Linked DNA regions of Arabidopsis thaliana. Each later gene encodes a partner of the first gene's protein in a complex. Each region holds a gene or a part of one and is shown in the gene's direction. Other genes may lie near its edges. The genes, in order: EMB1467, AT5G47890 and AT1G79010.

Evidence for each region.
Region 2: the proteins of EMB1467 (region 1) and AT5G47890 are in contact, whole or in part, in a cryo-EM structure (PDB 8BED), measured with the Arabidopsis thaliana proteins. Residues at the interface, in NP_568550.1 of Arabidopsis thaliana: Lys397 (codon at 3,226), Asn401 (codon at 3,238), Arg402 (codon at 3,241), Met403 (codon at 3,244), Gly404 (codon at 3,247), Asp406 (codon at 3,253), Asp418 (codon at 3,289), Ala419 (codon at 3,292), Asp420 (codon at 3,295), Leu421 (codon at 3,298), Arg422 (codon at 3,301), Tyr425 (codon at 3,310), Leu563, Asp564, Gly566, Gln570, Arg679, Lys681, Ser682, Val683, Pro685, Asn686, His689, Glu692, Glu694, Pro695, Ala696, Ala697, Phe698, Ser701; in NP_199600.1 of Arabidopsis thaliana: Lys12 (codon at 1,928), Glu13 (codon at 1,931), Arg15 (codon at 1,937), Leu17 (codon at 1,943), Leu18 (codon at 1,946), Gln20 (codon at 1,952), Arg29 (codon at 1,979), Val32 (codon at 2,085), Glu33 (codon at 2,088), Tyr36 (codon at 2,097), Lys37 (codon at 2,100), Lys40 (codon at 2,109), Ser41 (codon at 2,112), Lys45 (codon at 2,124), Leu46 (codon at 2,127), Pro47 (codon at 2,130), Ile48 (codon at 2,133), Leu49 (codon at 2,136), Ile50 (codon at 2,139), Arg51 (codon at 2,142), Glu52 (codon at 2,145), Cys53 (codon at 2,148), Ser54 (codon at 2,151), Val56 (codon at 2,157), Trp61 (codon at 2,172), Arg63 (codon at 2,178), Met66 (codon at 3,400), Gly67 (codon at 3,403), Glu69 (codon at 3,409).
Region 3: the proteins of EMB1467 (region 1) and AT1G79010 are in contact, whole or in part, in a cryo-EM structure (PDB 8BED), measured with the Arabidopsis thaliana proteins. Residues at the interface, in NP_568550.1 of Arabidopsis thaliana: Pro171 (codon at 2,373), Ile172 (codon at 2,376), Cys173 (codon at 2,379), Asp174 (codon at 2,382), Lys212 (codon at 2,496), Ala279 (codon at 2,793), Phe280 (codon at 2,796), Lys281 (codon at 2,799), Arg283 (codon at 2,805); in NP_178022.1 of Arabidopsis thaliana: Glu143 (codon at 3,355), Glu144 (codon at 3,358), Gly148 (codon at 3,370), Ser149 (codon at 3,373), Arg150 (codon at 3,376).

What each region holds. Positions count from the first base shown.
Region 1 is NC_003076.8:14,895,733-14,899,478, forward strand, and holds the start of EMB1467 (NADH-ubiquinone dehydrogenase), read left to right. Parts: upstream 1-1,677; 5' UTR 1,678-1,757; coding exon 1,758-2,178; intron 2,179-2,283; coding exon 2,284-2,530; intron 2,531-2,626; coding exon 2,627-2,921; intron 2,922-3,000; coding exon 3,001-3,375; intron 3,376-3,720; coding exon 3,721-3,746.
Region 2 is NC_003076.8:19,386,912-19,390,657, forward strand, and holds the start of AT5G47890 (NADH-ubiquinone oxidoreductase B8 subunit), read left to right. Parts: upstream 1-1,792; 5' UTR 1,793-1,894; coding exon 1,895-1,980; intron 1,981-2,077; coding exon 2,078-2,184; intron 2,185-3,397; coding exon 3,398-3,498; 3' UTR 3,499-3,746. Other genes in the region: ERF1-1 (eukaryotic release factor 1-1), read right to left, coding at 1-954. UniProt on the Arabidopsis thaliana protein: Accessory subunit of the mitochondrial membrane respiratory chain NADH dehydrogenase (Complex I), that is believed not to be involved in catalysis. Complex I functions in the transfer of electrons from NADH to the respiratory chain.
Region 3 is NC_003070.9:29,725,150-29,728,895, reverse strand, and holds the start of AT1G79010 (Alpha-helical ferredoxin), read left to right. Parts: upstream 1-1,867; 5' UTR 1,868-1,962; coding exon 1,963-2,016; intron 2,017-2,410; coding exon 2,411-2,489; intron 2,490-2,617; coding exon 2,618-2,671; intron 2,672-2,792; coding exon 2,793-2,884; intron 2,885-2,961; coding exon 2,962-3,075; intron 3,076-3,321; coding exon 3,322-3,389; intron 3,390-3,471; coding exon 3,472-3,583; intron 3,584-3,662; coding exon 3,663-3,746. Other genes in the region: AT1G79020 (Enhancer of polycomb-like transcription factor protein), read left to right, coding at 209-247, 349-429, 523-570, 755-805, 892-960, 1,034-1,285, 1,372-1,614. UniProt on the Arabidopsis thaliana protein: Core subunit of the mitochondrial membrane respiratory chain NADH dehydrogenase (Complex I) that is believed to belong to the minimal assembly required for catalysis. Complex I functions in the transfer of electrons from NADH to the respiratory chain.

The sequences.
Region 1 (3,746 bases):
ATATCGACAATAAAAATCACCTAATTTGCATCTAAATATTGACTTTCATAGTACGCTAGAGATAATCAGTTCATCTTCACCTTATTCTTTGCATTGTGTAAAAGAGAGATTATGCAGAGTTTCCTAGTTGACGAGAATGAGATAGCAGAGATATTTCTTGTTTTCGTTTTGCACTTTAGAGGTACTACCTTATCGAGTTGTATGAATATGATTGTCTTGCTTCTATTTTTTTTTTTCATTTTTGGCTTTGATTGAATAAAGGTGAGAATTTTTATTTATTTTTCGCAAAGTATTTCCTTAAAATATTAGTATTTCGGTTTAGATTAGAACAAATACGAGACGATAAATAGTTTGATAACAAAAAGCTATATATGTTGTGTTTCATATCTTATCAACTCGGTCACATCCTCTTTCCATTGGATGCAATTCTTTTTCATAGAAGAACCACTAATTCTTTTTTTTCTTTTGCCATTAACCCAACAATTTTTATTGTAGTTAGTGGTTCTCCCTTATGTTTCTTTGCCTTGGAATGTAATCACTCTGTTTTGACAAAAAAAAAAAAAGAAGGAATGTAATCACCCTGTTTGACAAAAAAAAAGAAAGGAATGTAATCACTCTGTTTGACAAAAAAAAACAAGAGAGGAATGTAATCACTCTTAAAGTGATCTATAACAATTTGAAAAAGTGTCATATTTATTAGCTATAACTTATAACTTTATAAGTTTTGAATGGATGCAGTGGACAAAGCGGTATACTTTGTATGCGGTTTAATCTACCTTATTTTGAGGCGGACAATAAACCGCTGTGGACCAAGTTTATTTATATGTAAAAATAGTTCGTGGATGATTCACAGATGATCTGTTGCGGTTTTCTTCTTTTTTTTTTGTCCGGACCACTGTGCACTATAATTGATTAATGGTAAATAAAAAACAGTCTGATCCGTTGATGGTTTTGTCCGCCCGAACCGCCGTAACCATTCAAACCCATAATTAAAATTATAACGAATTACTATGTAAATTTATAACTAAAACTATCAAATTAAACGAGTTAAATTATACTTATCATGTCTGCCTGTAATGATAAGATAATATATATCAAAGCTTATGAAACTTCATTTTTTTTTTTTTTTGGTTGTCATTGCAAAGGTTAGATTAATAACAATATCACTGATAATGATGCTTACACGTAAACCTAAACAAACGAGGAAAATAAACTAACTCTTACACGTAAACCTTAACCGATGCAGCATAGGTGTTGACAATATTTTCTTTCCTTTTATTTAAATAGACGACGTTGAGATGTTTAAAATTGTCATCATTTATAACCATATTTTAAGTTGTCTTTATCTGAAATATACAAATGTTCAATTAGTACATTGACCTAAAAGTCTCTAGGACTAATGATTGATTAGAGGTTTATTTTGCTAGAGGTTCTAATATGTTGTATGGAACTAGAAGCAAGATTGTTTTAAACTCAATGTCATTAAGTGAATTAGAGAAAGATCATCAAAACTCTTAAACTATATCTCCCAAAATTAACTTAATTCAGTTTGAAAAGAAAAAGCCCACAAAGCCCAAAACTCACTCATTCATAAGCCAATTATAATATCCAAAATAAAAGCCCATAAAGCCCAAAACTCACTCATTCGTGTCTCCTTCTCTCTCGCACAAATGCTTCAGGAGTTCTCACAACAAGATCGAGAAATACACACATAGAAGACGAAGAAGAAGAAGAAGACGATACAGATCCACAACGCCATGGGTTTAGGCATCTTAGCTTCTCGAACAATTCGACCAGCTTCACGTCTTCTTCAATCTCAAACCTCCAATTTCTTCCTCCGCACAATCGTCTCAAAACCAGAGCTCCAATCTCCTGAATCCGCTGCTGTCTCTGAGCCTGAGCCGCCGACACAGATTCTCCCTCCTAGAAACCCTGTAGGTGGAGCACGCGTCCACTTCTCGAATCCTGAAGATGCGATCGAGGTCTTTGTCGATGGTTACGCGGTCAAAGTCCCTAAAGGATTCACTGTTCTTCAGGCTTGTGAGGTCGCTGGAGTTGATATCCCGAGGTTTTGTTATCATTCTCGTTTATCTATTGCTGGAAATTGCAGGATGTGTCTTGTTGAGGTTGAGAAATCTCCTAAGCCTGTAGCTTCATGTGCCATGCCTGCGCTTCCTGGTTAGTTCGATTCCAGGAAAATTTCTATGCTGATGGATTGATTTTGATCGTTGATTGGTGGAATATATTTGGATTTGGTGCTATTGCTAAGAGTTTTTGTAACAGGGATGAAGATTAAGACTGATACACCGATAGCTAAGAAGGCGAGGGAGGGAGTGATGGAGTTTTTGTTGATGAATCACCCTTTGGATTGTCCTATTTGTGACCAAGGAGGAGAGTGTGATCTTCAGGATCAGTCTATGGCTTTTGGATCTGATAGAGGACGTTTTACTGAGATGAAAAGATCTGTTGTTGATAAGAATCTTGGTCCTCTTGTGAAGACTGTTATGACTCGGTGTATCCAGTGTACAAGGTTACTAATATAGTTTGCTTATAGTGTGATGTTTTAGTTAATGTGATAGATACGCTATCCTGTTGATTAGGTTTTGTATGTATAATGTTTTTGTAGGTGTGTACGATTTGCTTCTGAAGTTGCTGGGGTTCAGGATCTTGGTATACTAGGTCGTGGTAGTGGAGAGGAAATTGGAACTTATGTTGAAAAGCTTATGACCAGTGAACTCTCTGGAAATGTTATTGATATCTGTCCTGTTGGAGCCTTGACCTCAAAGCCTTTTGCCTTTAAAGCCAGAAACTGGGAGTTGAAAGCAACAGAAACTATTGATGTTAGTGATGCTGTTGGGTCCAACATCCGTGTTGATAGTAGAGGACCAGAAGTAATGCGTATCATTCCACGCCTGAATGAGGTATGTAATGCTTTTGTTCAAAAACACTATTTTTAAAAGTATTTTGCTGGATGTTGAACTTGTGAATGTTCTTATTCAGGATATAAACGAAGAATGGATATCTGACAAAACCCGATTCTGTTATGACGGCCTGAAAAGACAAAGGCTGAGCGACCCTATGATCCGAGATTCCGATGGACGATTCAAGGCAGTGAGCTGGCGTGATGCCTTGGCTGTTGTGGGTGATATCATTCATCAGGTGAAGCCAGATGAGATTGTTGGAGTAGCAGGTCAGCTATCTGATGCGGAATCCATGATGGTACTGAAGGACTTCGTTAACAGAATGGGCTCAGACAATGTATGGTGTGAAGGAACAGCTGCTGGTGTTGATGCTGATCTTAGATACAGTTATCTGATGAACACTAGCATCAGTGGACTTGAAAACGCCGATCTCTTCCTTCTCATCGGTACCCAGGTGAGATTTCCACCCTGTCTTTTTTGTATGGTTTCTGGTACCGGATTAGACAGACCGCTCTGTATTTGGAACAATGACATAAGAAAAACCAAATTGTGTAGTTTGATACTTTGATTTAGTGGTGTGGCTTAAGGTTCTGTGCATAATTTGGAATACAGAGGCAAATAGAAAGGAGAAACAAGCAAAATTAAGTTTCTAAAAAACAGATCAGATGTTAACATTTCGCTTGTATTGAATATTCCTGATCCAGACCAATCTAGATCAAGCAAAACTTGCTCTTCCAGATATCAAAGTTGTGAAGGTTTTTTAGCAGTACATTCACCAGTTTTTGTCTATTTTTACCAGCCTAGGGTGGAAGCTGCAATGGTGAA
Region 2 (3,746 bases), 4.5 Mb from region 1:
AATAGCACCAGACTCCAAAGCGTTCAACGTATCTTCCACACCAAACACATACTTCCCCGTGTCCTGGCTTATCTCCTCAAAGTACTTCCCAATCAGACGCTTCTCTTGGATAAACTTCACATTCGCAAGGATTTCAGCTGACAGCTCAATAGCTTGATTAAAACCATTTTCTCCTCCATATGATACATCCACCACATTCAGTATCTTCGCAGCCAGTCGGGGATCAAACATATCAGACTGACTCAACTCAGTCTTGAAATCTGCTGAACCAGCAAGAATCAGTCCAGACACATTAGGCTGACTTGTAGCAGGATTGATGTAGTACTGTGTGGCGAGCTCAGCAGTCTTCCTAACATAATTGTGACGCTTCTCCATACGGAGACGGGCAAAACGAAGAGCAGACTGTCCTCCTCTTCCGTGTTTCTTCGGAAGATCAACAGAGAACTTGTGAAGTACCTCACGGGTGTTACCACTAAGAGTTCCAAAGAGAGTCCCGTTTCCATCCATTACAATGAAACCAAACTTGTCATCAGACTCCAACAATTCATTCAAAGCTTCCGTGTGAAACTTGTTGTCACAAAGGTAGAGAGAAGCATTGATGGGTCTGAAAGGCTCAAAGTCAATAGTAACCTTCTTCTCCTTACCATCCTCATTAACAATGGTTCCAGTATAGAGTACAAGACCATTAGGAGGGACCCTGTTGTAAAGTTTCAACCTTTGCTGAGCAGAAGTTATGGCCCCCAAAACAGATTGACGATTGACTCTGCTCTTGATGTTTGACGCGGTTCCATACTCATCACCCAACATCTTGGTAACACGAGAGACCTGATCACGCGGAGGCATGATGAGTGAGATCATGCTGGTTCCATTACCCCTAGCAGCTTCAAGTGATTTGATCAGCTTCTTAATCTTCCATATCTCAATGTTCTTGTCGTCATCGTTTTTGTCTCCCATCTTAACAATAGAACAAAAACCTACAACAACAGTACATAAGCTAGTTAATACCGAAAACAGAGTAATATAACTCAAAACTGGAATACGGATATAAAATCCTCAAGAAACAATAACCGAAGCTGTAATAATACAAAGTGTGTCATGTAACCTTAATCATACAATAAATATTGTGCAATTTACCATTAAAAAAATCAGCCATAAAAGTTGAATTAAATTCAATAATCTTAATAACATGCGTTCATCAGTAATGAATAATGATACTAATAAATCTTAAAAGAAATTAATAATACAAAAAATATTACATATTAATTTCAAAGATCAAGACAATAATAGATTTAGCTGATGGATCTGTCTTACAAAAACCAATCTCTTCAATTCTATATTACGGAATAACTAATCTTAATTCAGATTAAAATTAATTCAACACACGAAATCGATTGCTATGATATCAAAACGAGAAAAGCCGATAAACAAGTATACTTAAGAATCTAAAATTCCCGAAACCTAAAACAACGATAACCACATGCAAAACAAATCAGATCACAGAATCAATCGATCAAATCGAATAATCAAATCAAACAATTACGAATTCATAAGGACAAATTAAAACCCAAAAAAAAGATGAAGATCAAAAAGTACCTGAAGAAGAAGGAACAACGCTCAAGCCTTCGACAACTTATTATATTCTTTACTGTATGAAGACAATTTGTGGCAGAGAAAGAGAATATATATAACCTAGTTTTTTTTTTTTTTTTTTTGGTCTAAACCTAACAAAACCGACTCATTTAATGGGCCTAAGCCCAGTAACTTTCCGACTCACTTAATGGGCCGAAGACCAATAACTTTACTTAATTCATTTTCACATGAACACAAAGTTCTCTCTGGTCTTTGATTCTTTCGTTGTGTGGCATCTGAAGAGTTAAGAGGAAGAAGAAGAACGATGGCATGGAGAGGAAGCATATCGAAGTCTATGAAAGAGCTTAGGATTCTTCTTTGTCAATCTTCTCCAGCTAGTGCTCCCACCAGGTTTCAATTTGATCAAAGCAATCTCTGAGATCGGAATTTTTTTTCAATGTTCCATATCCGTTTTGTGATTTATAGGGTTTTTGTTTCGTTGTTTCAGAACGTTTGTTGAGAAGAATTACAAAGATTTGAAGTCTCTAAACCCTAAATTACCAATCTTGATCCGTGAATGTAGTGGAGTCCAGCCTCAGATGTGGGCAAGATATGGTAAATTTGCTTTATCTCTTATCTCTGTGAAGGAAAATTTTGACTCAAATTGTTTAATTTTTAGAGATATGAAAATTAATTGTGCTCTTTTAAAGATTTGATATGAATGTAGTTACATATGTGACTTCTTCTATTGCTTCTGCATTCATATTTTGTATGGAGGTGTCTTTATAACATCTTGTGTTCACCCATTATACACTCACTATCGAGCCTTGTACATCTTGTGATGAAAATGTTTCTTGTTGTGTTTGATGTGAATGCTGAAATTTATGGTTTATGGGATTTTCTAATGTGGGTTGTTCTTTTTCTTTCTCGCGATTCTGTTTGTTTTGAATTTTCTACAGTGTTAAATTTTGGTTTGTTTGTTTTTAAAAAACTTGACATGAATGTGGTCATTGGTAATAACAGATGTGGCTTCTTTCTTTTGTTTCTGCATTAAGTTTTTTAGGGAAGAGTCTTTTAACACTATGAGTTAACCAATTACACTTAAAGTAGTACACTCACACTCACCCTTAGAGTCTTGGTCATTGATGATAAGGAATTGTGTATAACCGCTATGTATATTGGCTTGTGCTTTATAAGATGAGGATTGTTTTCCCTTGTCCCTTGTTGTGTTTTATGTGAATGCCAAAATCTTATGGTTTATGTGATTGCCTACTGCTGTTGTTCATTTTCTCTCTCTCGTTTTTGTTTTGTTTTGAACTTTATGGTTGTCGCATATCAGCCTTAAATTTTGAGTGAGTTTTAACATCTTGAGTTACTCTTAAAGTACACACTCACCCTTAGACTATTGGTCATTAATGAAAATGCATATTGGCTTGTTCTTTTGAAATGAGACTGGTTTCCCTAGTTCCTTGTTGTGTATTTATGTGAATGCCAAAATCTTATGGTTTATGTTATCTCATTAGCTGATCCATTTTATATGGTTTCCCTGACCAAACATATCAGTGTCTTCAGCAACTTAAAGTATTTAAGCATCTGTGTTGAGTGAACTTTGAACATCTTTAAACTATGTTCCCACACTCCGATAATGTAGTAAAGTATAATACTGTAAATATGAGAGAACAAGATGATTCTTTTTCTTTTTGGTGATAAACTTGTTTTACGCAACAGTCATATGCGTTAAAATTGTCATCCTCGATTCTACTTCGGAACTAGTATTTATAAATGTGTCTGTTTTTGTATTGCGTTAATTCGTGCTTGGCTTGTGCAGATATGGGTGTGGAGAGGTGTGTAAACTTGGATGGTCTGACAGAGCCACAGATTCTAAAGGCCCTTGAAAACCTTGTGAAATCCGGAGCTACAAAGGCCTAAGTTTGTTTGTTTGTTTGTTTTTCTCTATATGATCCCGAATAAGATTAAACCGCAAAACAATCATTTGACATTTCCTGTCATTCTACTACTTTGTAACTCCGTGGTGTCATATCGCCTTGCATTTGAGTTGGTTTTTTTGTGTAATCCTTGAACTTGGAATTAAACCATTCCGTATAATTGAAATCACAGAAAGGAGAAAAATAAACCATCTCTGTTTAAACTTTTTGTTTTAGGGGATGTGGGCATGT
Region 3 (3,746 bases), on another chromosome or scaffold:
TTGTTACAAGTTTTCTGGATACAGACGTTATGTTGCATAGGTTAATGATCTTATTTTACGGGGTGAGATAAGACGGTTTAATAGATTATTTGATTCGTGAAACCTATGCATAGTTCTTGTGAATGACAAAGCAGTTCCACATATGGAGTACCTTTGGCTGATAATACTTATGCATATGTTTCGTTTTCTGTTTTTTATGTGAACTTAGCGTAAAAGATGGCAGAAGCCTATCTTACGGCGTTTACAGGTTTGTATTATTTATTTCCATTTGAAACGATCAAGGCCTATGTTGGAAAGGCATCTTACCTCGATTATTTAGTTAATGTTTTGCTTCATTGTTTGGAACAGCCTCCCCCACCGGTTAATGACACCAATCCCTATAATGTGTTTAGGCCAAGGGAGAAAGTTCACAGACTCCACACAAGAAGGGTAGGCTGTCTTTTTTATGCATGTGCGACATTTTTTCTATTAAAATCCAACTGGAGAAAGAAAAATAGTGATAAGGCTTTACTTCATCTTCAGATGCAGAGGAGAGAAAACAATGTGCAGTCATTTGAAAAGCTTCGACAGGTGAGTGAGGCACCTGAACCTTTATGGTTCTTTAATTTCCTGAAATCTGAGCAATTTACGTTTACAGTGCCTTCTTTTAGTTTCTCTCTGGACAACATTGTTTTTTCTGCTTGTTAATGATCTGTTAGTGATTCTTTTATGGTTTTCTATTGGATTCTGAATACATGGGATATGTTATTATCAGGTTAGACGCAATCTAGGCCAAGCACAGAGCATTCTGGAGGCTCTCATTAAGGTGTTCTATATGACAGTTTTAGTGTTTATCTTAACAAGCGGATTGCATTCTCCAAAGTTGCTAATTTGATGTTACCCATTCCGTAGAGAGAAGAGAAGAAGAGGGATGTCATGGACAGTGAGGTTAGCCTTCAGAGAATCCAACTCCAATACAGGGTACTTACTTCTACTTCCTCTAAAACTCTCTGTTTTCCGTTTTCCGGGTCTAAAATTGTTTTTTTTTTTGCAGCATGAAACAGAGCTCTTGGAAGATAGCTTGGCTATGCCTGGATTTCAACCCACTACAACATCATACAAATTTGGCTCAAGCGATGATGAACTGATGGACTCTGATGATCACACCAGTACTCGTGTACGTACAAGACCTGCGGTTATTCCTAGTTCTCGTTTCACCAACTTAAATCTGAATGCATCTCATCCCGGAGGCATCAAACAAGAAGTTAGAAGACGACAGTCACAGCATGGATGGCTTCACAGACTGGTAAAACCTTCTCTTACAACACCTAAGCTCTCTCTAGCTACTATAATCAATCATTTAAGCAAACCTGTAATGATTTTGTTCCTTAGGATCCTAATGAACCGGTAATGCTATTCACAAAACCGCTGGTTCCCGATAAACTGGCAGCTGCAGGGATTGTTCCTCCAACACCGGATTCATCACCAGGTCAACCTCCAAGTCGGTTTCAGGGGAGGATTGGGCGTGGTGGCCGAATTATTTTCGATAGATGGAATCCGTTGATGCAATCTCACATTAATTGTGGAAACTCTTATTACATTGCTCCAAATCACCGGTCTACCAACTTCGATTGAGATATTTTCACAATCTTGCTTTGTAAAGAATTTTCCATCACCAATGGTGTATGCAATAACGATTCTCAGCTAAATAAGTTTTAGCACTTTGTAACTAACTGGTTATTGTGTGTATTTCTGTTTATTTTCGGTTAAGGAAAGAATCTGTTTAATTCAAAATCCGGTTCTATCGGCGGTTTGGAAAACCAAAAACTATTGTACCAGGGACCAAATTGTAATAATATCTTCAACTCAAAGGACAAAATAGGATTTTAGGGCTCTTTATTGATTTTAATCGGAAGTTCAGGTTTGCTCATCAATCGCAGTGAAGAAGGAAGGAACCTAAATCGGAATTTGGGTGCTCCATCAATGGCTTCGATTTTGGCTCGCAGGTCACTGAATACTCTCCGTGCTCGACATCTCGTATGAATCTTGTTCGCTCTTGTTATTTCTTCATTTTGTGTCCTTTAGTTAGAGTTATTTGAATGCCTAGAAATGGGAATGTCTCCTGGAGTTTTGGGAGCTTAAGATGATTCTATTCACTCTCTGTGTTTTGTTTTGTGTCGACGAGATTCTGGATTTTATCTAGCTGATCGATGAAATCATGTAGGGAGATTTGAATTTGATCATGGTTCATCTTAAGGGCTTTCGTTTTACTTATGGTTTCCTTATTCTTTTTCGCATTTAATTTTTGTGACGAAAGCCTTTTCGCAAGTCAATTTTTTTTTGTTTTTTTTTGCGAGCTTTAATCCTTTCATTAGCTTGATATGGTGTGTATGTTCTGAATACCTCTCTGATTACTTCTCGACATTGATAGGTTTTGTCAGGGCAAGCTTTACAGGGATCTCATCTGTCTAGACTGCAGTCCCGTGGTATATCTTATGGCAGCAACAAAGGTATATTTTCTGCTCTTGTTTGGTTTTCTTTGGTAAATCAGGTTTAATTGTGAATCTACCCCTTTTCCAACTTGTATTACGAGATTCTGATTCATATATGACTTATGGTTTGCGTATGTAATATTCAGATGATGAAGAAGCAGAGCAACTTTCTAAGGAAATCTCCAAGGACTGGAATACTGGTAATCCATATGATCTAGACAATTTTACTTTTTTTCTCCTTTCTTCTTTTCTTGTACGTCTATCTTCCTTGGTGTTTTCCTCCCCGAGTATTAGTGATTCCTGATATTCTCAAATTTGTAGTCTTTGAACGGAGCATAAACACCCTGTTCCTCACAGAAATGGTCCGCGGTTTGTCGCTGACCCTCAAGTACTTCTTTGATCCAAAAGTTACTGTGAGTGATATCTTTTCTAGTCTTCCAAACTTAGATTGAAAGAAATCTGTGTTACTGAAGCTCTTTCGTGTATGCAGATCAATTATCCATTTGAGAAGGGTCCTCTGAGCCCTCGCTTCCGTGGTGAACATGCTCTTCGAAGATATCCTACCGGGGAAGAACGCTGCATTGCCTGCAAACTCTGTGAAGCTGTGAGTTTTGAGATCGATATGAATCCTTCATTTAATTTAACGTTCTCTTTGTTCTGATATGGTACTCTGAGTCTATCAAATTCATCTTAGTAATTAGGAAAGCTATTTGAGTATGAGTAATATTTACTGTTTAGTCTCTAGAGTTCTGATGAAATGGTCATATTAGCTGACAATGATCTATTTAGTGTGTATAAAAGTTCACCACGGATTGTAATTCTTGTGAGGGATACTTGTCCTTTTCATCAGGTATGTCCAGCTCAAGCAATCACAATAGAGGCAGAAGAGAGGGAAGATGGAAGCCGCAGAACCACTAGGTCATCATCCCTTTAGTTCTCATTTATCAACCATCTGCTTTCTTTATTACCCTTTCATGATGATTTGAGCTGTATCGTACAGGTACGATATCGACATGACAAAATGCATCTACTGTGGTTTCTGCCAAGAAGCTTGCCCCGTTGATGCAATCGTTGAAGGACCTAACTTTGAATTCGCAACCGAGACACACGAGGTCTGTTTTTCACATTTTCTAGACCCTAATAATTTTCGAGGCATGCTTATTGAAATTTTTGTTATATTCTCTATGATAGGAACTTCTCTATGACAAAGAGAAGCTTCTTGAGAATGGAGATCGATGGGAGACAGAGATTGCTGAGAATCTGAGGTCGGAGAGT